Medicago truncatula: one gene and its partners. The protein of the gene in region 1 binds, or shares a complex with, the protein of each later gene. Links are inferred from orthologs where the notes say so. Each region holds a gene or a part of one and is shown in the gene's direction. Other genes may lie near its edges.

What was found.
Region 2: the proteins of EKC/KEOPS complex subunit TP53RK (region 1) and probable tRNA N6-adenosine threonylcarbamoyltransferase are in contact, whole or in part, in a cryo-EM structure (PDB 8K20), measured with the Arabidopsis thaliana proteins. The link is inferred for Medicago truncatula from reciprocal best matches to the Arabidopsis thaliana genes AT5G26110 and AT4G22720. Residues at the interface, in NP_001331017.1 of Arabidopsis thaliana: Ala19, Glu20, Lys41, Lys42, Tyr43, His45, Ile47, Leu48, Arg56, Gly158, Leu159, Val161, Asp168, Arg178, Arg218, Gly219, Lys221; in NP_194003.1 of Arabidopsis thaliana: Glu147, Arg149, Arg151, Phe194, Lys202, Gly203, Tyr235, Glu239, Ala243, Val246, Glu247, Glu250, Arg251, Ala254, Arg272, Met280, Glu283, Arg284, Arg329.
Region 3: the proteins of EKC/KEOPS complex subunit TP53RK (region 1) and EKC/KEOPS complex subunit Tprkb are in contact, whole or in part, in a cryo-EM structure (PDB 8K20), measured with the Arabidopsis thaliana proteins. The link is inferred for Medicago truncatula from reciprocal best matches to the Arabidopsis thaliana genes AT5G26110 and AT4G34412. Residues at the interface, in NP_001331017.1 of Arabidopsis thaliana: Thr27, Phe28, Ala29, Arg31, Asn58, Ala61, Arg62, Thr65, Arg68, Lys69, Leu70, Gly71, Val72, Cys73, Val76, Leu77, Tyr78, Ala79, Val80, Asp81, Thr82, Leu83, Leu84, Gln151; in NP_680763.2 of Arabidopsis thaliana: Asp7, Phe51, Leu54, Ala55, Gln58, Ile62, Arg66, Lys147, Thr149, Gln151, Glu152, Ile155, Ser156, Asp160, Val163, Cys164, Ala167, Ala168, Asp170, Ala171, Leu172.

What each region holds. Positions count from the first base shown.
Region 1 is NC_053044.1:30,319,054-30,326,878, reverse strand, and holds EKC/KEOPS complex subunit TP53RK, read left to right. Parts: upstream 1-4,824; 5' UTR 4,825-5,043; intron 5,044-5,245; 5' UTR 5,246-5,270; coding exon 5,271-5,333; intron 5,334-5,726; coding exon 5,727-5,840; intron 5,841-6,182; coding exon 6,183-6,461; intron 6,462-6,572; coding exon 6,573-6,686; intron 6,687-7,288; coding exon 7,289-7,361; intron 7,362-7,444; coding exon 7,445-7,482; 3' UTR 7,483-7,705; downstream 7,706-7,825. Other genes in the region: alanine--glyoxylate aminotransferase 2 homolog 2, mitochondrial, read left to right, coding at 514-684, 919-1,062, 1,301-1,480, 2,269-2,494, 2,607-2,720, 3,090-3,176, 3,283-3,326.
Region 2 is NC_053042.1:44,678,618-44,686,478, reverse strand, and holds the start of probable tRNA N6-adenosine threonylcarbamoyltransferase, read left to right. Parts: upstream 1-4,857; 5' UTR 4,858-5,065; intron 5,066-5,313; 5' UTR 5,314-5,318; coding exon 5,319-5,864; intron 5,865-7,164; coding exon 7,165-7,320; intron 7,321-7,424; coding exon 7,425-7,772; 3' UTR 7,773-7,786; intron 7,787-7,861. Other genes in the region: leghemoglobin 29, read left to right, coding at 2,217-2,311, 2,431-2,545, 3,357-3,464, 3,704-3,832.
Region 3 is NC_053049.1:46,416,702-46,423,870, reverse strand, and holds the start of EKC/KEOPS complex subunit Tprkb, read left to right. Parts: upstream 1-4,120; 5' UTR 4,121-4,201; coding exon 4,202-4,269; intron 4,270-7,091; coding exon 7,092-7,158; intron 7,159-7,169. Other genes in the region: probable fucosyltransferase 8, read right to left, coding at 1,817-3,276, 3,487-3,588, 3,791-3,986.

The sequences.
Region 1 (7,825 bases):
TAGCCCGTCAAATTTATCCAATAAAAATTAGTTTTTTAAATTAAAAAAGATCGATCAATAACCAAGTGATTGAAACCAATAAACTTTAGTTTTCACGAATTGTCAGAGCGAACCTGAGTTCGAATTCTGGTTGGAACAATCCTTGCCAGGTCCGGAATCTGGTGACCAGATTAGCAAGACTATCTTCTCCTCGCAACCTAAGAGTTACGATGAAAGATCAATCCATTCAGTCACTCAATCAACATATCTATTTAGTACACATCCATCAAAACCAATGAAAAAAACTTACATGTTGATTTGAATAGTCTCTTTTTGCATCAAGATAAGTATAAAATGTTTCGAATTATAGTGGTAAATTTGGAAAAAAGAACTAAATTGACCAACATTGTTCAATTTAATTCACTAAATTGACAGATTCTTACAATTACAATGTCTAAAATGTTGATTTGCTCATTCTATTTTGCCACAGCTGGATTATTTACTATATTGACGAAAATAATTCATTTTTTTAAGGTTGTTTTCTTCACAAATTCTGGGACAGAAGCCAATGAGTTAGCTTTGATGATGGCAAGACTGTACACTGGCTGCCATGATATCATTTCCATTAGAAATGGTTACCATGGCAATGCAACCTCAACTATGGGTGTCACTGCGCAGTTTTATCACAAGTTTAATGTTGTACAGGTGACACTTTTTCTTTTATAATAATGGTATATTTTGTGTGAAACAATTCTTGTTTAAATCTTCTATAGCATCAATTAAGTTCACAAAAACGACTGCATTGTTGTTTTGCTGAGATGTCGGTAATTCATAATGATGCCTTTGTAATTTTAATTCTCGCCAAAAAAAGTTTTCAAAAACAAAAATAACTACTAATTGCATCAATTTTTATCCTTGTTATTATTTCTATGACAGTAGACTGGAGTTCACCATGTCCTTAACCCAGATCCATACAGAGGAGTTTTTGGTTTGGATGGAGCGAAATATGCAAATGATGTTCAAGATATAATTAATCATGGAACTTGTGGTCATGTAGCTGGCTTTGTTGCTGAGGCCATTCAGGTAATACTGATATATGTCGTTTAATAATTGAGTTTAATTTTGATATGCGGTTAGTGTAAAAGTTCTACACTAGTTATCGTTAAAGGAAAACGTTTTTGATGATCCTACAATTCTGGTTGTTTGATAGTGTAAAAGATCTTTTAGTGTAACATAGAAATAAACATAATGGTACTTTCTCACTCTCATAATTTTGTAAAGGGGTTCATATTATTTAGTGAACGGTTCGTGCTTGACACAGGGAGTGGGTGGAGTGATAGAATTGGCTCCAGGTTACTTGCCTGCAGTTTATAGCATCATCAAAAAGGCAGGAGGTGTCTTTATAGCCGATGAGGTTCAGTCAGGTTTTGGTCGAACTGGTAGTCACTTTTGGGGCTTTGAGGCACATGGAATTGTCCCTGATATTGTAACATTGGCAAAGGTAACAACGCTTCTTTAGTAGTAAGCAGCATTGGTGAGTTTTCGACACCATTTGTCAGAGAAACCAATGAAACTTATAGCAACGACTTGGCACATATATGCAATCAGGCACGACACTCATGTGAATCATTAAGAGTACAACCTTTTAGATTCTGTGAACACAAACTATACAAGGCATGTACCATGATAATCAGCATTTCATGTCTAAATGCTGCTTGTGAGTATACACAATCTCTAATTTCATATAAGGATCAAGGAAATCTCGAATCTGTCTTCGCTAAGATTCCAAATGGACATTTTCTGTGGCTTAATATATCGAAATTTCCACTACTTAATGTATAACACTGTGTATATTACATGTAATTTCAGTACTACATATTTAATCCTGCAGTTTTATTTGGTGAACAACTATCAAGCCATCCTTCAATTACAGTGTCAGTACTGCATAACACTAGCTTTTTTGAACAATTGAACTAACTTGAATAATAATATGATATGTAACACCGACATTTCATATTGTTGGCATGTTTGGTGTTGGCACGTGTCATAGTCCGACACCGACACATGTACATTCAATTACTTTCATTTTCTAAAAATATTACCGGTGTGTACATGTCAGTATCAATGTCGTGTTTGTGCTAGTACTTCGTAGATAATTTGAAATTCTAGTGACACTGTTCGGAGAACATAACAATTGCCAATTGTTCATTACACCTCATGCCCTGCTAATCTTGGTTAATTCATTACATCTTTCTGTATTTTGTGAAATATTATTCATCGTCATCTCAGGGAATTGGTAATGGCGCACCTATTGGTGCAGTTGTAACAACTCCTGAGATTGCAAAAGTCCTGAAATATGCGTACTATTTTAGCACATTTGGAGGAAATCCTGTTTGTGCTGCAGCTGGATTAGCTGTTCTGAATGTAATTGAGAAGGATAAACTTCAGCAAAATGCATATGTTGTTGGATCATATTTAAAGGACCGCCTTAATTCACTAATGGAAAAGCATGAGAGTAAGCTTCTTCTTTTTTTTTTTTTTTTTTCCTTTCCATCTACAGTATGTTGCATCATGAGTAAAGAAATTTGGATTATGAATACTATTGCTAACATGTTTTCTTATGGCAGTAATTGGTGATGTAAGGGGAAGGGGAATGTTGCTTGGAGTTGAACTTGTGAAAGATAGGAAGCTGAAAACTCCTGTGAAAGATGAAAATATGCAGATCCTCGAACAGATGAAAGGTCTATTTCTATTGCTTCTATCCTAAGAATCACTGACATAGACACGACACAGATACTTCCTGACACGTTGAGACTACTAATAATTTGAGAAAATAAAATAACCAAATGTAGCCACATGTGTTTCCCTCGTGTCATACACTAACATGTGTCATACACTAGATGCGTCTTCAATCTGAAGCGTCGGTGCTGCATAGCTTCTATTTGGTTCAAAATATATTTTTTAAACAATAAAAACAAATTCATCTAGTAATTGCAATGATCCTTAAATGGCACACAAATGAGCATACATGATTTGTGTATCTGGTACAAACTATCAAAAATGTGTGACACAATTTTCTTAGCTAATATTAAGGTGTCATTATATTTCAGATATGGGAGTGCTAGTTGGGAAAGGTGGCTTCTATGGAAATGTTTTAAGGATCACACCCCCACTTTGCTTCAATAAGGAAGATGCAGGTTGATTGTCATAATCATCATCACCATTTTCTTTTGATTCCTAATACTCTATTTTGCTATTGTTATTTTTATTTGCTAATTTAGACTATTTACTTCATAATTGTAGATTTCCTAGTAGATGTGATGGACTACACAATGTCAAAGATGTGAAGCAAATGCAATACTAATGGATAAAGAACTTGTTCCAATTCTGACTCCATACTTGGAGGTCCTATATAAACCCTGATGTAAATCAATAATTGCACTTTTGGGGTTTATTTAATAAAAATGAAAAAATTATCATAAATATTATAGACTTGGAAATTTGAACAAGGTGAGAATATCTCCACAGTTGTTCATACATCAACTCTAGCACAACCGATCCGAGGATAAACTTAAGAGTCTGCTTGGGAGTAGGGAGTTTACGAGGAGAGGAGAGGATTTTGGGAAAAAAGATGGAAAATTTAAGGGCGTTGGAAGAGTTTACATTTCTTGGTAATAGAAAAATTTTTCAAAATATGTGTTGGAGGAGGTTTTTGAGAGTTTAAATAGTTTTTTTTGTTGGTAGTGAGAGTTTAAATAGTTTAATTCCAATATAAGATGTTACAACACTCTCATAATTAAAAATATATTAACATAAATAGATATTTATTTATCTTTCTCTACAAAAATGCTTTTTTAAACAAGGTGTAAGGTTTCTCTATATTTTCCTCTCATCCCCTCTTCCGAAAGTCCTTGCCTCCTCTCCTATCTAATTATCGAAGGGAATGATGACAATTCAACTTAGGGAAATGTTAACGAATACTCATGGGTACTCGACCCTTAAATGGTAACTTTTTATTAGAATATGTGTAATCAATATATTAGAATTCGAAGTATTTAACTTTTTTTATAAAATATCTTCTTTTTATTTAAATCCTTGTCACCAAGTGCTACTTGTGCTACGAGGACACCGGTTAACAAGTCCTTTCAATTTATGGAGCATCAATCAATCAATATGAGAGAATGACATACTTGTTGCCTCTGATTAATAGTTAGCATAAAAAATAGGGTTAAATATATTTTTGGTTCCTATAAATATATCAACTTTTCGTTTTAGTCCCTCTAAAATTTTCCTTCAACTTTTAGTCTCTATAAAATTTTCAATCACTACTTTTGGTCACTGTTTTTAAGTTAATTTTAGTATTTTTTTTTTTAATGGAATTGTACTGAAATGTGTAGATTATTGTAAAAATATTTCCCAAAAAAAATTAGAACTTTTTAATATGAATTTTTAACCATCAAAAATATAAAAATTCATATTAAATTCATGTTTTGGTAATAAATTCTAAATTTTTTTGGGAGAAATTCTTATAATATTATGAATTTTTCTGCAAAATTTCATTCAAAAATATAAATTCTACATGTAAGTTTACTTTAAATGAGAGACTAAAAGTGAAGATGAAATTTTTTTGAAGAACTTAAAGTTGAAGGAAAATTTTAGAGGGACTAAAACAAAAAGTTGATATATTTATAAGGACCAAAAATATATTTAAATATTAATATAACACTAGATAAATAAATAAAAATTTAAATATCTTTTCACTTCATATAAATATATAACTTTTTGTTTTAGCCTAACAATTTTTTTATATATAATTTTTTGTATCAATTTTTTTTTCTTCGAATTTTAGTCGCCAAAAGTTTCTCATCTTCCTTTTTTTTTTAAAGATTCATCTTTCCATTTATTGACCAATAGATTAAATTAAATAAAAAACTTAAAAATGGTCGAAATTTTGAGAAATTTGTAATTGAATTGAAGGAGTCACTGTTTTGTCAAACTTAAAAAGCTTTCTGTGTTTTCTTTTCTGCAACACGAACTGCACATCGTCGTCCGCCGCCATAAACGGTAAGATTGTCCGTCATGTTTTCCCTTTTTTATGTATTTCAACTGTTTTCCTATTTTACTTCAATTTCGTCGAATACAAAAGAAACTACTTTCACATTTTCTACTTTTTAATGTGCATATAAGCTGTTTGTTAAATGTTCTGTGTGAAACCCAAACTTGTTCAACTTCAATTAATACAAAATTCTTATATTTTACATTGAAGGGTTAAATTAAAGGAATTTCATATTATGGGGACTGAAACTGAGTCATCAGATAGCTCTCTCATTCTCATCAAGCAAGGAGCTGAAGCTGTAAGTTTAATTCACACTCATTGGATTTTCAGAATTAATTTAGCACATACCCATTATATAAAAAAATCAATTTTTTCTTGTTTTTTTTATGCACCCATCTTGTTAATTGAAAATTAATTCATGGGCTATGTTTAAAGTTTCAATCTTTCATTGTAGCAATGTTGTTAGGTAGCTGCTATAGCAGCATATACAGAATTTGAATTGAACAAGTTTCTATTATTTTGTGATATACTATTTAGTACAAAATGTTGTCAAATTGCGGCACTGTGACATTGTTGCATAGGGAAATTTGAACAAGCCGCTAGTTGATTGACAATACTGGTTTTGTGACTTTGAAGGAAATTGGATTTGTTATAGCTTATGGTTTTTTATATTGTTTTGTTGTTGTTGTAGAGGGTTTTTGAGACTTCTTTTGTGGGAAGAAGGTCTGTTGTCAAGGAGAGATTCTCAAAGAAGTACAGACATCCGACTTTGGATGCTAAGTTGACACTCAAGCGCTTAAATGCGGTACGCTCAGATTTAGATAACAGTTTCATTTTTATTTCTGATGAAGTTAGGTCGTGTTTGGATAAACTGCTTAATTGAACATATATCGTATAAGTGCTCATGTATAGCCTCTTTATGTAACAAAAATAAAATAAAGTCAGACTTCTTTTCTATAAGCCAGAAGTTGTTTTCATAAACTATGCTGCCTTGTTTATGGAAATAAGCTGAAAACAAGTTATAGATATGTCATGAGCTGTTTCCATAAACTCTTTGAAACAGTCTCATAAGTACTTATTCAGTAGATAAGTTATGTCTCATTGGATGTTTTCAATACTTTGTTCCGCCAATTGATTGCTGGAGTAGGAGGCGAGGTGCACAACAAAAGCAAGGCGACTCGGTGTTTGTACTCCTGTGCTGTATGCTGTGGATCCTGTATCACACACTTTAACATTTGAATTTGTTGAAGGACCTTCAGTCAAAGATGTATTTCTCGAATTCGGATCATGTGGTGTCAATGAAGAGCGCTTGGGAAAGATTGCATCCCAAATTGGTGATGTAATTGCGAAGTTACATGATGGTGGTCTTGTTCATGGCGATTTAACAACATCAAACATGTTACTAAAGAATGATACTGATCAGTTGGTGAGTTCATTCGTCTCTTAGGTCCTGGAATTAATATTTATTACATTTACTTAGTACAATATGAGAAATATCATTAACTTTTGTTGCTGCTGTGATGTGTATTTTGTGTAGGTTCTTATTGACTTTGGTTTAAGCTTCACTTCAACTCTACCAGAAGATAAAGCCGTCGATTTGTATGTTTTAGAAAGAGCCCTTGTTTCGATGCATTCTTCATGTGGTAATGTGGTAAGCCAACTTCTCATTTTCCCAATAGTCCTAAGGATATAAAAACAGGGTCTTATTTGTCTGTTATGGAAATTTAAATTGAAGTGCAAGTATATTTTAGTTCTCCAAGTTCGAGGTCTTACACTTTCCTTCCCTCAACTTTTGTGTAGAGGCTATCTGTCATGCTTGTGACTTTCTTCGACCCAAAAATCATTAAGAGGATAAAGCTTTTATTTATTTTCCTTTTTTATACTATTAGAATTTTATAGTTTGTGCACTTGAGGTTGATTTGAAATTTTGATAAAGAACTTTAGGACAAAGCATAATTATAAATTATCTATTTGTACTAAAGCTGATGATTTTAAATATCAATACCATGGGATATATCAAGAAGGTATTATTAACCATTTTCAATATCACCCTTATTTACCTGTATATATAACAAGACGAAATATTTTTAACAATAGATAATGCAAGGCAGATATATAACAAGACGAAATATTTTTAACAATAGATAATACAAAGCAGAGTAAGTACTCTGTTATTTAAGAAAGATTGGAAGACTTGTTCTGCTATAATATAGTTTCTGTACTGATATTGATTATTGAAATTTCTCTGGATAGATGGATCAGATACTTGCTGCTTACCGCAAATCATCGAAACAGTGGTCATCCACAATGAACAAGCTTGCAGACGGTATTGTCTTCCATCTAATATTTTTTAGTATTGAGACATTTTCTGTAATAGTACTTACCTCTGTACATTTTCACAACTTGTAGTGCGACAGAGAGGACGAAAGAGGACCATGGTTGGATGATTCTGAGTTTCATTTCGTTACTGTAGTAAAAAGAGGTGACAACCAATGAATGTTATCAACATAATTTATATGTATTTCTTATATGCACATCTCTTACAAATTAAAAATCACAACATTTGAACTTTGATTTTCATGTCCGACTTTTGTGTGTAACAAAAACTGAACTTTTCTGAGAGCTTATTTTTATATCTATACGTCAATGGTTCAAAGGTTATGCTTGTTACTATACTGGTTATTGGTTAAACCATCAATCTGTAAATAGTAGATTTCGAAGGTGAACAAATTTTAAAAATTGCTCTAGTATTGCTGTTTCAAGGCTTGAATCTATATCTCAGTTAAGTCT
Region 2 (7,861 bases), on another chromosome or scaffold:
GTCAAATATTTTCTGACCAAACTAAGAATTGTTAACTATAATCCTAGCTAAAGAGGAGCATTTGTATTAGCTTCTCCTCTAATATGATTACAGACAAATGTGGAATGACCATAACACCCTTTATTCATCTTCATTCCACCTCCTCTTCATCTTCTTCATACCAAAGTTAAAAAAATTCAGAGAAAATTCCAAAAAACTAAAAAAAAAAAATCATATCAATTTCTTCTACATCAACGCTTTCGTTTCTACACTATCACGATAACTCATAGTTTTTCACAAACTTCAATCTAGATTCAAATTTTTGAAATTTGATTAAGTAATGACCTAATCCTAATCTAAATTCACTCACAATTTTTTGTTTGAATCGTAATAAAAAAAAACAATGAAGAAAAACTTTGAGCTTTGAAAAAGAAAAATAACAAATCCAAATGCTCCGAGTGGATTTCTAAAGAGCATTTGAAGAAGAACATTTTTTGATTTATGGATTTTGAGTCGATTTATGGATTTCTTCTTCACTCAGAGCAATAATTCTAGATTTATTTTTATTACGATCCAAATCCAATTCCAAAGCAGTGAAGAAGAACATTGTGAGTGGATTTGAATCGTAACCAAATGCTCTAAGTGTGTTCTTCTTCTTCACTGCTTCGTAATCAATGTTCACTAATTTTGATTTTTGAAATTCTTTTAGATCTAAACATTTTTAATAATAATTTTTTTATTATTTGAGCTTGTTATGGAATTATGTTTCCAGAATGAGATTATAAAACTGAATTCTGATGATCAAACAGAGAGAGAGGGAGATACATATCAAATTAAACAGGGAGAGATGGAGAGAGAGAGAGAGAGAGAGATGCGGACGAAACATAGTGAGAGAGAGAGAGAGAGAGAGATAGAGAAAACATATGGCACGAGACAGAGGAAGAAGATGAAGGCTACTGTCTCGTTGAGGAGAAATGAATTGAGGGTATTATGGTAATTTCACTTGAGTTTGATAGAGCCAGGGGATTTTTCGTCCGTTCACCTAAGGGCGGGACAAAAATATAATATTCGGCCCAAACTGGCCGAATCGTATGAGCCGAAGGATTTTGGGTCAGGTCGAACGGTTGATGCGAGTTAAGCGGTACAAATGAAATGGTTTGGTGTGCGTTGTTCATGTTGATGTTGATCATGCTCCGCAAACACATAGTTACCAATGTTATTGCTATTGCCTGCATTTTCTTCTTCAATTGCTATTGATTCCTCATAAGTGACCATGACCTTTTCTCCGATCTGCATTCTCTTGATTATATTCCAGATGCAAGGATTCATAATCAGGGACTTTCTCATCATTGGGTTTTCTGTTTAGGGATAAATTTTGGATTAGGTTTTCTGGGTGCAACCTTCTCCACAATCTTCAGTTGATCATTCGATTTGCCATGGATTTTACTGCATTTATCAATCGAATGACCAATACATCAACAATGTTTACAAAATTATGGTATATTTTCATAATCAATATCAACAAAGAAAACACACAACATTTTCTCTCAGCTAAAATATGTAATGCAACTCATTAAAAAATTAATATCTACTAGTAAGCATGTAAAATATCCCATGGTGCAATGTTCAACGACTTCATCCAAGGATAAAGACATACGTAATGCATATGTATGTATGTATATATTAAAAAATATGATTTATTTTAGATATTTCTTAAAATGAATGTTAACACAACCAATTTTGATTATATTTTTAAAAATTATTAATTAAATAATTTATATGGTCTCATTGAACAACTCGTGCGTACTCTTTAAAAATAGGTTCTAAAAAGATTTTACTAAATAAAAAAGTATTTTAAATAATATTTGCTATTTGCTAGTAGTTTTTAACAGATTAATAATTACATTAGATATATGAATATTGGAACTTCCATAAAAAATTTAAAATGGAAGAGACCATTAAATGTTTATATATTTTTTAAAATTATATTTGCTTTAATTAATTAAAATTTATGTGATGGTGTTTTTGAAAAGACAATTGTCTCTTAATATTGCCAATGGCCACCTCTAAATTAAAGACCAATAGATTACCTAAACCAATAATTAAAAAAAATAAAACAAATTACCACCTCTTTATTATTCATTAACCAAGCCTTCTATATAAACAGTTGATGGTTTGTAAAATTGTAGTATTCAAAAACTCCAATTCAAATTAAAAGAAGGAGAAAAAAGAGAAATATGGGTTTCACTGAGAGACAAGAGGCTTTGGTTAGTAGCTCATGGGAAACCTTCAATCAAAACCTTCCTTTCTATAGTGTTTTGTTCTACACCTTGTAAGTTTGACCTCGGTATATGTATTCATTTTGTGTGACTATATATATATTTGTTGTCTATTATGTTTAGCAAGTGATGGTTTAAACATGAGTATCTCTAATTGATTTTATTAAAATAGTATATTGGATAAAGCACCTGCAGCAAAAGGCATGTTTTCTTTTCTAAAGGACTCGAATGAGGTACCTCAAGATAACCCTAGTGTTAATGCTCACGCTGAGAAGGTTTTTGGAATGGTGAGTACAGCTGACGCTCACAAGTTTTTTACGTTTTTCATTTTCATCATGCTAATTTTTTATATTTTGATTTTCTAACCAAATTATTGAATTTGCCTCACCTTTACATAACAATCATAACAGTTTTTGCACTTTCATATTATACAAGGAAACACAAATGAAATTTGTCAAGAGAGAAAATACATTTTAGACCATAAAATACAAAATCATGGTCATTAATCCAAAAAAACAAAGTATACTTTAACCTACTAATACATCATATGCCTACAACTTCTCAAACAATGGTTATGATTAAGAAAGAAGTGTCGTCAACAAATCACTTTTTAATATTAATGTTGAATTCATGCTTTGTTGTATATGAATATAAAAACAACAAAAGATTGTTATACTATTCAAATAGAAAGACATACAACTTAAATTATAAAATACATATAGAATGATGTGAAAATTTAAGGAAGAAAAATTATTAACAACAATTGTGGTATTACCTAAAACATTGTTTGCTCTTCTTTTGATCTATCATATTGAAATCTCTAAACCCTTGTTAATACTCATAATGTAAATACCAAAATCAATACTATATTCGAATAATATTTTATTTTCAATATTTAAAAACAATGTAATATAAATATTTAATGATGAATTTCCCTAATAAAATATTTGATGGCGAATGTCTATTTTTCTAGATAAAATACAATTTGACATGGTTCAAAGTTCAAACAATTGTATCCAATTACATTATTTCAACTTTTTTATTGTTGACATTTTTTCTTATTATAACTATCATTTCATAATATATATTTACTTTTAGGTGCGTGATGCTGCCGTTCAACTCCAAGCAAAAGGAGAAGTTGTATTGGGAGATTCCACATTGGGGATTGTTCACACCCAAAAGGGGGTTGTTGGTCCTCATTTTACGGTATGAATATCATAAAAAATGCTTTCTTAAATTTAAATGTCTGAGAATGTCTTGTTTGGTAACACATCAATATATAATAAATTTAAATAATTAACGTAAAACATATGAAGTTCAATTTCAATATGTTTTTGTGTGACATATTACATTTTCATTGATAAAAATATGTATAACTTCATATATTATAGGTCATGTTCATAAACATAAGAGTGTAGAAAATTAAAGATATTTTTGTTTTATAGGTTGTGAAAGAAGCATTGCTCAAAACAATCAAAGAAGTTGTTGGTGATAAATGGAGTGAGGAGTTGAGTGTTGCTTGGGAAACTGCTTATGACGAATTGGCAGTCGCAATCATAAAGGAAATGAGCTGATTATTAGATCTATTACAAACTATCAATAAATAAATATATATTTTCCTAAAACTTTAAAAAAGTTTTTATAATAAATATTCAAAAGAGAATTAGTTAAGAATTTTCAGGTATAATTTCAGTATATTTGTATAATAAGTTGTCTTCAATTTTTGGAAGACTAATGTATTCGAATTTTAACATATGGTATATGAAAAAAAAATCACAATAAGCTGTGTATTTAAAAATATTAAGCATATTGGCAAAAAAGTATGATCACCCAACCCAATTTTAAATGGAGTCACTTTAACTCGACCTAAAATTTCATAAACCATAAACATCATAGTGATAGAGCATATCAACAACAACTCAACCACCAACAATATAAACATTTTACTGAACCGCACGATAATAATCATACTCTATCATTTACTTGTCTCACATTATATTCTTGTTGAAGAAAATTTTTCAAAAGGTTCGAGAAGATGTGAACCTCTAAAATTATGAAATTGCCTTTAATAACATATTATGTAGATAATTACGGATGTTCATTTTAAAAAATTCATTTTGTACATCCGGTAGATAACCACCAAAGGTTCGTTTTAAAATTTTTCATTTTGTATATCCGGTAGATAACTACCACCTTTTAAAAATTTCCATTTTATACATCTAATAGATAACTATCGGATGTTTATTTTAGGCTTAAGTGCAGTTTTGCCCCCCGTATTTTGATTAAATCGGAATTTTACCCCCTATTTTAAAACTCGGAATTTTACCCCCCCCCCCAATTTAATGTTTTTCGGAATTGGATAATGCTAACCATTGCCCTTGAGACATTGAATAAGGGGATAAAAATAGAAATATAGTATTGAAAAATGGTGAAAAGTGATAAATTTAACTTTTTAAAAATCAAAATATTGTTGAAACCAAAGCAAACAAACATGCTACTTTTGACTTCCTTAAATATTGTAAACAACTCATGCGACAATTATAATTTACAAAAAAAAAAACTAAATATTTACACGGAAATCATTCAAATATCATTTCTCTAAAATGAAATCTTCAAACAAAACAAAACCCTCCCATCCCAAAACTTGAGGAAAACAAACGACACTATCAGTTTCATTTCAGTTGTTGTCGCCGTTCCCCCTCTAACCAACCGCCGCCGCCCCCAGCCACTGCGCCGTGCTTCAACCACATCCGTACACGTTCCGCCGACGCTCTCCGACGATACCTTGAGGTTTAGGTCGACTTAAGGTTTAGTTCCCTTTTCTCTCATCTTCTACTTCCTTTCCTCTTTCTTTCTTCGATGGCTGTTGATTCCGCTTTCACTGATTCCAAACCCAATTTCAAAATTAGTTGTGGAAGTGATGATAGTTATTATTACCAAATAACTCTAAAGCGGAATCAAAAAGCCATTGAATTCAACTACCTTTTTTATTTGTTTCTGGTTCATGGTGTTTCACTCTCATGTTTTGTATGGTTTTGTTATTTGTTCTTGATAGTGAAAATGATAGCAATAGGGTTTGAAGGTTCAGCAAACAAAATAGGTGTTGGTGTAGTAACCCTAGATGGAACAATTCTTTCAAATCCACGTCACACATATATAACACCACCAGGTCAAGGTTTTCTACCTAGAGAAACAGCACAACATCATCTTCAACACATTCTTCCACTTGTCAAATCAGCTTTAGAAACAGCACAGATCACTCCACAAGACATTGACTGCATTTGTTACACAAAGGGTCCTGGCATGGGAGCTCCGTTACAAGTTTCTGCTATTGTTGTTCGCGTGCTTTCGTTGCTTTGGAAGAAGCCGATTGTTGGTGTGAATCATTGTGTGGCTCATATTGAAATGGGTAGGGTTGTAACTGGTGCTGATGATCCTGTTGTTTTGTATGTTAGTGGTGGGAATACTCAGGTTATTGCTTATAGTGAGGGAAGATATCGGATTTTTGGGGAGACTATTGATATTGCTGTTGGGAATTGTTTGGATCGGTTTGCTAGGGTTTTGACACTTTCCAATGATCCTAGTCCTGGTTATAACATTGAGCAGGTGATTTTTCTAATTATCTATTTTACAATGTTTATGATTGCTGTATGATATTTGGATCGTTTTTTTTTTGTTGTAATTTTGCATGAGTTGGGTTGTAACTTGGGAGCATGATCTATTTCGTCTTACCTTGGAAAAAGAAATTGAATGTAATGTAATTACCATCTTTTCTTTGGGATTTCTGATATCAGAGTTGATGTATCTTCTGATTCTGTTATGTAGTGTACAGATTATACACGGATTAATTAGATGTTCCTCTTCAAGCTCTGACCCAGCAATTTCTTTTTAGTCATTTTCGGGACTTTTATTTCAGAAATGTTTTCTATTTTTGCTTTTCATCACTCATGACAAAATAGCCACTAGTGTTCACTTTGTTTATTGTTTTTAAAGTCTTATTTTGCACTGAAAAAGTCATAGTAAAAGTAGTTGTTCTTCAGTTGTCTATCCATACAAATATTTGAAAACGAGAAGTAAAATGAAAATGAAGTGGTAGTTTTGTAATTGAAATTATGAACACGAGGACCGAAAAGGTTCTCTCAAACCAAACAGGCCCCAATTTTTTTTACCCTGTTTATTTACCGTTAAAAAAAATGAAAAAAAAAACACTGAATGTATAGTCTCGCCATTTTTTACCATGCTTAGCTGACTAATGTTATAATGAGTTATTTTGTAGTAATTAATGGTTGTAACTTTGGAGTATGATGTGTTTGGTCTTGCCTTGAAATAAAGAAATTGAATGTAATTACCATCTTTAGCTTGGGATTTCTGATACCAGAGTCGATGCTTCTTTTGATTCTGTTATGCAGTGTACAAATTAGACAGCGATTAATTAGATCTCCCTCTTCCTTTCCAAGCTCAAAACCAGCATTTTCTTAGTTTTATCCATTTTGGAATTTCCGAAAATGTTATCTATTTTTTGCTTTTAATGACCAAATTACCACTAGTTTTCTCTTGTTTCGTATCTTCGAAGACATATTGTTCAACGGAAATGTGAAAACAAAAACTGTTGCTCTTCAGCTGTCTAGCTGTCTATCTGAACAAACATTTAAAAAACGGGAAATAAAATGAAAATAAAGTGACCGTTTTGTAGTTAAAAATTAAAAACATGTAGACAGAAATGGTTCTCTCTCAAACCAAACAGGACCCGTGTTTTTTGCATGTTTATTTTCTGTTCAAAATGATAATAAACCAAAAAAAAAAAACTAAATGTATAGTTTCGTCATGTTTTATCATGCTTAACTGACTAATGCTGTCATGAGTTGATCTGTCTCAAGTTGCCTTATATGGTTTTCTTATCCTTCAGCTTGCGAAAAAAGGAGAGAAATTTATAGACCTTCCTTATGTTGTCAAAGGGATGGATGTATCTTTTAGTGGAATATTGAGCTATATTGAAGCAACTGCTAATGAACAGCTAAAGAATAATGAGTGCACACCTGCAGACTTATGCTACTCTCTGCAGGTAAATTTTATTTGTGTTGATCCCTTTTCCTCCTGGTATCTTGTACAGTTGTGTTCATTAAATAAATGAAAATTTGTGAGTTGATAGTTCCTATAATGCTGTAGGAGACACTGTTTGCCATGCTGGTGGAGATAACTGAGCGAGCCATGGCTCATTGTGACACAAAAGATGTTCTTATTGTTGGGGGTGTAGGTTGCAATGAACGCTTGCAAGAAATGATGAGAACAATGTGCTCAGAACGTGGTGGAAGGTTGTTTGCCACTGATGATAGGTACTGCATTGATAATGGTGCAATGATAGCTTATACCGGTCTCCTTGAATTTGCCCATGGTGCGTCGACTGCACTGGAGGATTCTACATTCACCCAGCGGTTCCGAACAGATGAAGTCAAAGCAATCTGGAGAGAAGCAAATTTGGCAAAATCAAATAGTCTGGCAGACAAAACCGTTTGATTTTCAATCTTGAGGTGCGCTAGTTTCCTTGTGCACACAATTATAGTCAATTTCAGTTAGCTATATAAATAGTCTGTTTTAATTATGTA
Region 3 (7,169 bases), on another chromosome or scaffold:
CAAGTGCAGGAAAAACAAAATGAAAAATTGCGTCTCGGTCAAAATTTTGATCCGTTATTGATCCGTTATATTTACAGTAAATAAAACATGTATGCATCTATTATAATTACAGTTTTGAAACAGCATATCTGCGCAATGATTCAGAACTTGTTGAACAACTTTGTCAGGTATGTGTTAATTTACCATATATGCTTGCAAGGTAGAAGTACAGATTTGTGTTAACAAAGAAACTATACCATGGTAGAGTTAACATGTGCTCCCATCTTGGTTTTGCTACTGGTGAACTTGAGGAGTGGAACCAAAGCAAAGGGAAGCTCAAATGATAGGATCATCTTATCAGCAAACAAAGAAGGGCTTTAGCATAAATCAGTTCTGTTCTAAACAAAAATGAATGCATACACCAAAACAGGAGCAACAAAAATGATGTTGCATTGACAGATATTTTTGTTAGAGAATAAATCTATGCTTATGTAACTTCATTTTGGTTCTCAGCCCATAAAACAGCATATCTTCATACGAAGCTAAACAGTGCAGTTATGAACAGTGGCGGCCACAGGGCAGTTGAGTTGCAAATATACGAGAAACTTCCATGATATCATAACATGAAAATTTAAACAATGTATTGTTTATAACATGTACATATTCTCAAGTGAAAAGCATTAGAAGATATTTTAGGACTAAAACAACTCGATTAAAATTGATGGCAAGGATATTTTACAGATGCAATTATTACCAGCTTCCAACCCCAGTAGAGCCACCAATGACCGCAACAATCAAACTAGGAACTATCGCTAAGCAAGGAGTTAACATATTCCGAATCCAAGGCATCAGTCGTAAATCAAGAAATCCCTAAAAAAAGGAAATGATTCATAGGGGGGAAAATAGAAACATCATGAGGTAATAGTTGCTTCAAAGTGGTCACTATGCAAGTGAACCTTAGCAAAATTAAGAAAAACTGCTGAACTCAAAGCTCATTAAGGACACGTGTTGCTACTATTAAATTTTATAAAGAATATGACAGATTGACAGGTATCGTATGTTGAACATAAAAATACCCAACACAATGGTTCATGATAGCATTCATAATTTAATTTGAGGAATTAATGCATTATAATTGAGGCTCCATACCTTATTTTAAAATAAAGATCACAAATCCTGACTTTAAGTTAAAATCAATTCAAATCAATGTCACTCAATCATGTCAAAACCAATTATATATGATTAGAATCACCTTTCACTCTCCCTAACATGAAAACAAACAGATACTAAAGCAAACAAACAAGTCTAGAATATAAAATTTATATCCCAATTTGAAACCAGAACTAACTACAATCTATATCCCAATTTATATCTTATTAAAAGCACACAGAAATAATTACAAGGTTAGTACCTAATACCAGTAGCACAACATGAAGAAACTCTGATAAGAACTGATTTTACACAAATTGGTTGACTCAAAATAATGCTTATTAGAAAATCATATTCCAATCACATCAAGGGGTGTCCAACAAATAACAGCTAAGCATAACCATGCAAGCCTCAAGCCTCAGATAAGCACCAGAGGACTTCAGTCGTGCGACGTTCATTTGTTTATCATCTCATTGCCAATAGATTAGCACTAGCACAAGCAGAGGACTTCAGTCATGTGAGGTTTCCATCAATGTACTTGACTGAAAATAGGGGACAATAACACTCTTCTTCACTGTACTTGAGGACCTCAAATATGGTTGAACATAGAAGTATGAAGTTAAGTACTGATATTAGTTAGCACATCAAGTAGATAACTCCGAGCTGGTTGTAATAGTTAGTTTATTACCTAGCGATTAGCATTAACCAACCTCAACCCACCATTTTTATCTTCACAATGCTTCATGTGATGAAAAAGGGAAGTAAAATCAGTTGTTAGGTTGGCCCTGCAATCATACTTGGGAGGGTAATGGAAACAAGGCTCCATGGACTTGGCTCGTTGACAAGGTGGATTTGGGATGGTTTCCCCATATGCCCTGTGCAGAATCCATGGCTTCAAACCTCCAAGACTATGAGCAACATACCCAAAAGTAGACTTGGGGCTTGTAATCAATGCATCACATAAACTCAGTAGATATATTTCAGTCCATGCTTTAATATTGTGTGTGTCATTATTTGATTTTTGACGCCCTTCGTGACTTGGCTGATAAACTTTTATTACCTCCCCGGTTACAGTTGTATTTGCCTTATATATAGTCTTCAGCTGCTCACCATATTCGGAATATAGAGAAGCCACTAGAACAGCTTTTGGTGTCTGCTTCTTCAAAAAAGATTTTGCTGTCTTCTGCACGTTCAATTCGGGCAACAACTTATGCTGAAGACTGCAAGCTATAATTTCATTGACGATGGTGCGATGTGGTACTTGGTGAGGGTTATACACTCTAATCTGCAATCCAATTTTCTCATTTGCCTTGGCTAAGTGTGTCTCATAGAACCTGCTAATTAGTTCCCATGCCTCATTGGAAGGGTGAAAAAGGTAACGTCCCAAATGGTGAAAAACAGTGTCTTTCTCGGGAAACAATTTGCTTAGTTCTTGGCTAAATGAAGGAATTATAAAAAGAGAAGGGACAAAATATTGATCCGACCGCAAAATTAGAACAGGAACTTTCTGGAGAAGAGCTTGACTCTGATCACAGTGAAAATAGTTGTTATGACCGTCATGGGTGTGCTGTAAATTAAGAATGAGAAATTGTGGCAAAAGCTCCTTTGATCTGTTTTTCTTGCTATTCATTAGCATGCTTTCATAGGTTTCAATATGTTTCTGATCTTTCCAATAAGGAAAGTTCCTGGGCAATAACCACGAGGAATCAGGAAAAGGCTCACAAAAGAGACCAAACATGTCAGCGCCAAATTTGACAAGTAGAACCCGGTCCGTAAGAATAGCATAAAGAAACGCTGCCGCCAAGGTTATCATCCTGTTCCCCAATCCATTGGAAGCTGTCCATACAAGGTATTTGCACTTTGTATCGGCATCACCTTTGCTAAATTTTGGACCCTTTGTCATGATTTTGCTGTATGGTTTGGTATTTGGTCCACAACTTCTATGAAGATGTTCATAGTTTCGTAGCTTGGATAACAGATATGCAGAAGGTTTATAAGGGGAAGCTTTGCGGTATAAGTGAGATTTAAATCTACTTAAGCATGATGCTTCATCAAATGTGGAAACTAGTAGTCCATCAAGAAATCGGTCATTAGCAGAAGCTAGAGAATGATGCTTCTTTTGGTGTTCAAGTGAATCATATTTTGGACCTGTAGTGTGGAAATAAAATATGCATCATACACAATTCTATATGAAATTGAAGTCCACAATTCTACACGAAAGTGAATGAAACCATCTTAGTGTTCATTTTACCAACATAAGCAATAGAAGGTTGCTAAGTATGATAAATGTAAAATAATTTTGAAATTAACAGAAAGAACAAAGAATAATTCTATAAATGTGGAGTAATTTTGTCTAACCTTTATTACCAATATCTGAGATTTTATGTGTCTGAGGAGGTTGTTGAGATTGAAAGATCCGAGCAGGCATAAGATTTTGATATTTGTCTCCCAACACCTTATCTAACAACACAAATTAGACACATAAAAATGTTAGAAACATAAATAGCATTGAGGTAAAGACACTGATACGGACACAGAGACACTGACACCAATAATAATAGAATGTAATAAATAACATGTGTTATGTAGATGCTTGAGAGATTGACAAGAAGAAGAAGAAGAAGAAGAAGAATAGGTGATTCAAAAGTAACAATGGTCTTACCTACCGATGAGTTAGTAACAACATTTTGAGGTGTTTGTTTGAAGACAGTAACAGTAACAGTAGTAGCATTGATGTTGGAAAATCCATCAACAAAATTGAAGATTGAGTTGTTTTGGTGAATGAGAATGAATATGAGTGATGATATAGAGAAGGTTATGAAACCCAGAATCAATAATGAACTGAATCTCTTTAACATCTTGAACCGAAAAGATTCCCAGGAAACAAATCTCTCTTAGTTTTAACTGTATCAACATCTCTCTCTCTCTCTCTGTGACCAATTATTATTATTATTATTATTAATTACCAAATTTACCCATTTGTACATTACCATAATACCCCTAAAAATAATTAGGAAAACCCTATTAGGTCTTGTCTTCATTCATTCATTCAGCAGCACCCAAAACAAAAGCTATGAAGCTCATCGACATCAATGGAACCACTATTTCTCTTTCACTCTACACTGATGTCACCAATTCAAAGTTAGTCTTTCTCTTCATCTCTCTTTTTACCAATTGTGGGCGCCGTTTTAACGACTTGTATCTTCTTGATGTTTTGAAGCTTTTTTGCACTTCTGGTGCAATTAGCAGTTTAATGAATATGCTGTAAATTCTACAGTAATGTCACCTTTAAATTAATATTAAAGTAAAGGAATTTTTACCAACTTGTTAGAATTACTTCATATCTGAATCGAGTTTTCATGAAACTGCTAGCCACTCTTTGGGATGGATCATATTGATTGCTTGAAGCTCTTAAGCATGTGTATTTGTTATGAACAGCTTTTGAGTTGTTCATAAATGGACTAAGAGAATAAAAACTATAACTAACTACTCTGAACATTAACTTCATTCTTTTTTCTTTTTTTGCCCATTAGTATTATTTGCATGTGCAAATGTGGTTATATTATTCGTAATTGTATGTACAAATCTTTCTGTACCTTTACACATTGGAATTGAAATCTTCCTTTCTTTTTCTTCTATTGTACAATTCAATTTGAAACCAAAAAATCATACACCTCCTTCAGTTCCAATTGAAGCCTAATAACTAGAGGAACGTATAGTGCTTGATGCTTCCTCAGTTCCAATTTCCATTCCATCATGTTGATCTATGAAGTCAATCATCTGATTAGTAGCTTCCTCAGTCCCCAGGCGGTTATGTCCGGATAAAATTTCTTTTACGACCAAAATAATCTTGGGAAGATTCTCATGATAACTTCCAAATAGGTGTTCATCTGACCTTTGTACCAATTTAGAAAACAGCCCATGTGCATATCTAGCTTCCTTGAAATCATGCTTCAGTGGCAAGAAGTATAACCATCTTTTAACCCCCGTAGGGCCGGTACTGTCACGGTGAAATTCACAGATTCTTCCAAGAGCTGCAACTGCGGTATCACATAATGTTTTTACATTTCCATCTACATATAGTTCACTAGTTGAAAGTCTTTTACTGATGACCTTACTAGATGTAAGATACCCGCACTAACAGAAGCTTTAAATTGATCTCCTCCAAACATAGCACAGATACCAATCGCCCATGTAGCATGCAGCTGGGCACAAGGATAATTTTTCTCTAAAACAAGACAGGAGATAAAAATATATCTGTTATGATACCAAAAACATGGCAACATTTGACATGAGGTCATTAACAGGTAGCATGAGTTGGTCTTCAAATTTTTGAATCGCTGTTGCTGTTAAGTTGACTACTTCCTCAATTGTTTCTTACACTGACAAAGATCTAAATACATCCTCCGAGGTCCCCGCCTCTTGTGCTTTCTCTATTTCAAATTTAATAATCCTTCTTATTGTATCGTTTATCTCGTCATTAACAATCTTGATCAATTGATCAGTGAAAAATGAACTAGAGGTCTGAATGCATCTGCCAAGTAACCTCAATACTAATGTAGACAAATCCCTATCAATTTCCGTCTTCAGCACTTGAGTCAGAGCTTGCACAATGATGAAAGTTGTATCTCTTTTAGTGTCATTACTTTTGTCACTTGCTATAACTAAAATAGAAGCCTTGCGAATTTCAGAACTAGAACAACCAAGCAAACATATAAACATTGGAGTGACCTTGGCAATGTGGGGGAAAACGTATAAACATTGTATTACAAGCCTGGGCTCTCATAGTTTCAACCAAACGCTTGTCCTCGTTGCTTAGGCTATCATCCTTGGACTCCTCGCCCGTTAAGTTAAGAAGGGGCTGAGCACATGCAATCAACATTGGCATAATTTTATCTATAAATTTGTCAACACTCACTTTTGGGCATTGACAGATTTGATCCAAAGCCTTTAAAATGATACATTTTGTTAAGTATTCTGTATTGCTCAATTTTCCATCAAGTGATATTAGAGATTCCACCACCTGAACAGCTTCCCGCTCTTTGAAATCATCTGGCCCAACTTTCCTAACAAGATAAACCATGCATTCTTGACATTTGGCACAGATCAACAATTTGGGTAAACTATACTTATTGGACAAAATAGCTTTCAATGCTTCCATTGTTGTATCGTAATGAATCGGATATTTTGTCAAAGCCACAATTTTTTACCAAGCAACGAAGGGCAATAAGAGCATATTTGATGGCAATAAGCCACCTGAACTAGTTCTCCAAGAACTTGAGATATTGAGAACGCAGTAATAGTTCCTTACATTCACTCAAACACAATTTTTGAATTTTTAAACTTTTATTGTGTTGTTTTTGCTGTGAATTGAAGAATTTAGCTCTTTTATTTTATTTTATATAACAAATCTCGTGTTTTTTATGGATGTACCCCGTACCTTAATATTTTTAAAATTGTCGTATTCTCGTATATGTAACTATGCAACATAGGATAACTATCAACGAGGTCATGTTCTGTACGTAGTTATGTTTGGATCAAAGTTACAACACTTTTTCACTTCTTTGTTATGGCACTATGGTAAGTGGTTATCAGGGTGCATGCTTGTTTTTTAGTGGCCATCAAATATTGCTATTCAGTATTACAAGGGATCGCTTAATCTCAAAATTCAGTTTAACCGTAATTAGAGTTTAATTTGTTTCTTTTTACCAGTGTCGTCATAACTATTCACAATATTTGGTCCTGGTTGTCCTTTTACAACAATTCATTTGCAATCAATTGCATTTCGTATGTCGATTCCTCCTAATCAAGTAGGCGATTGCAAATAAAATTCTATTTATCATCACATAAAACAATCTGTAAAAGTAGATATACATAATACATTATGAAAATACTGTTATTGATCCATGATATTAGGAACCAGCTCTTAGCGGAAGTATATTATGTAACTATGTTTCTTGCAGGGAACTATTGGAAAGTATGCAAGCTGGGACATTGGAGCCAGAAGTTGCATTCCTCAATGCTTCACTTGTATAATTTCT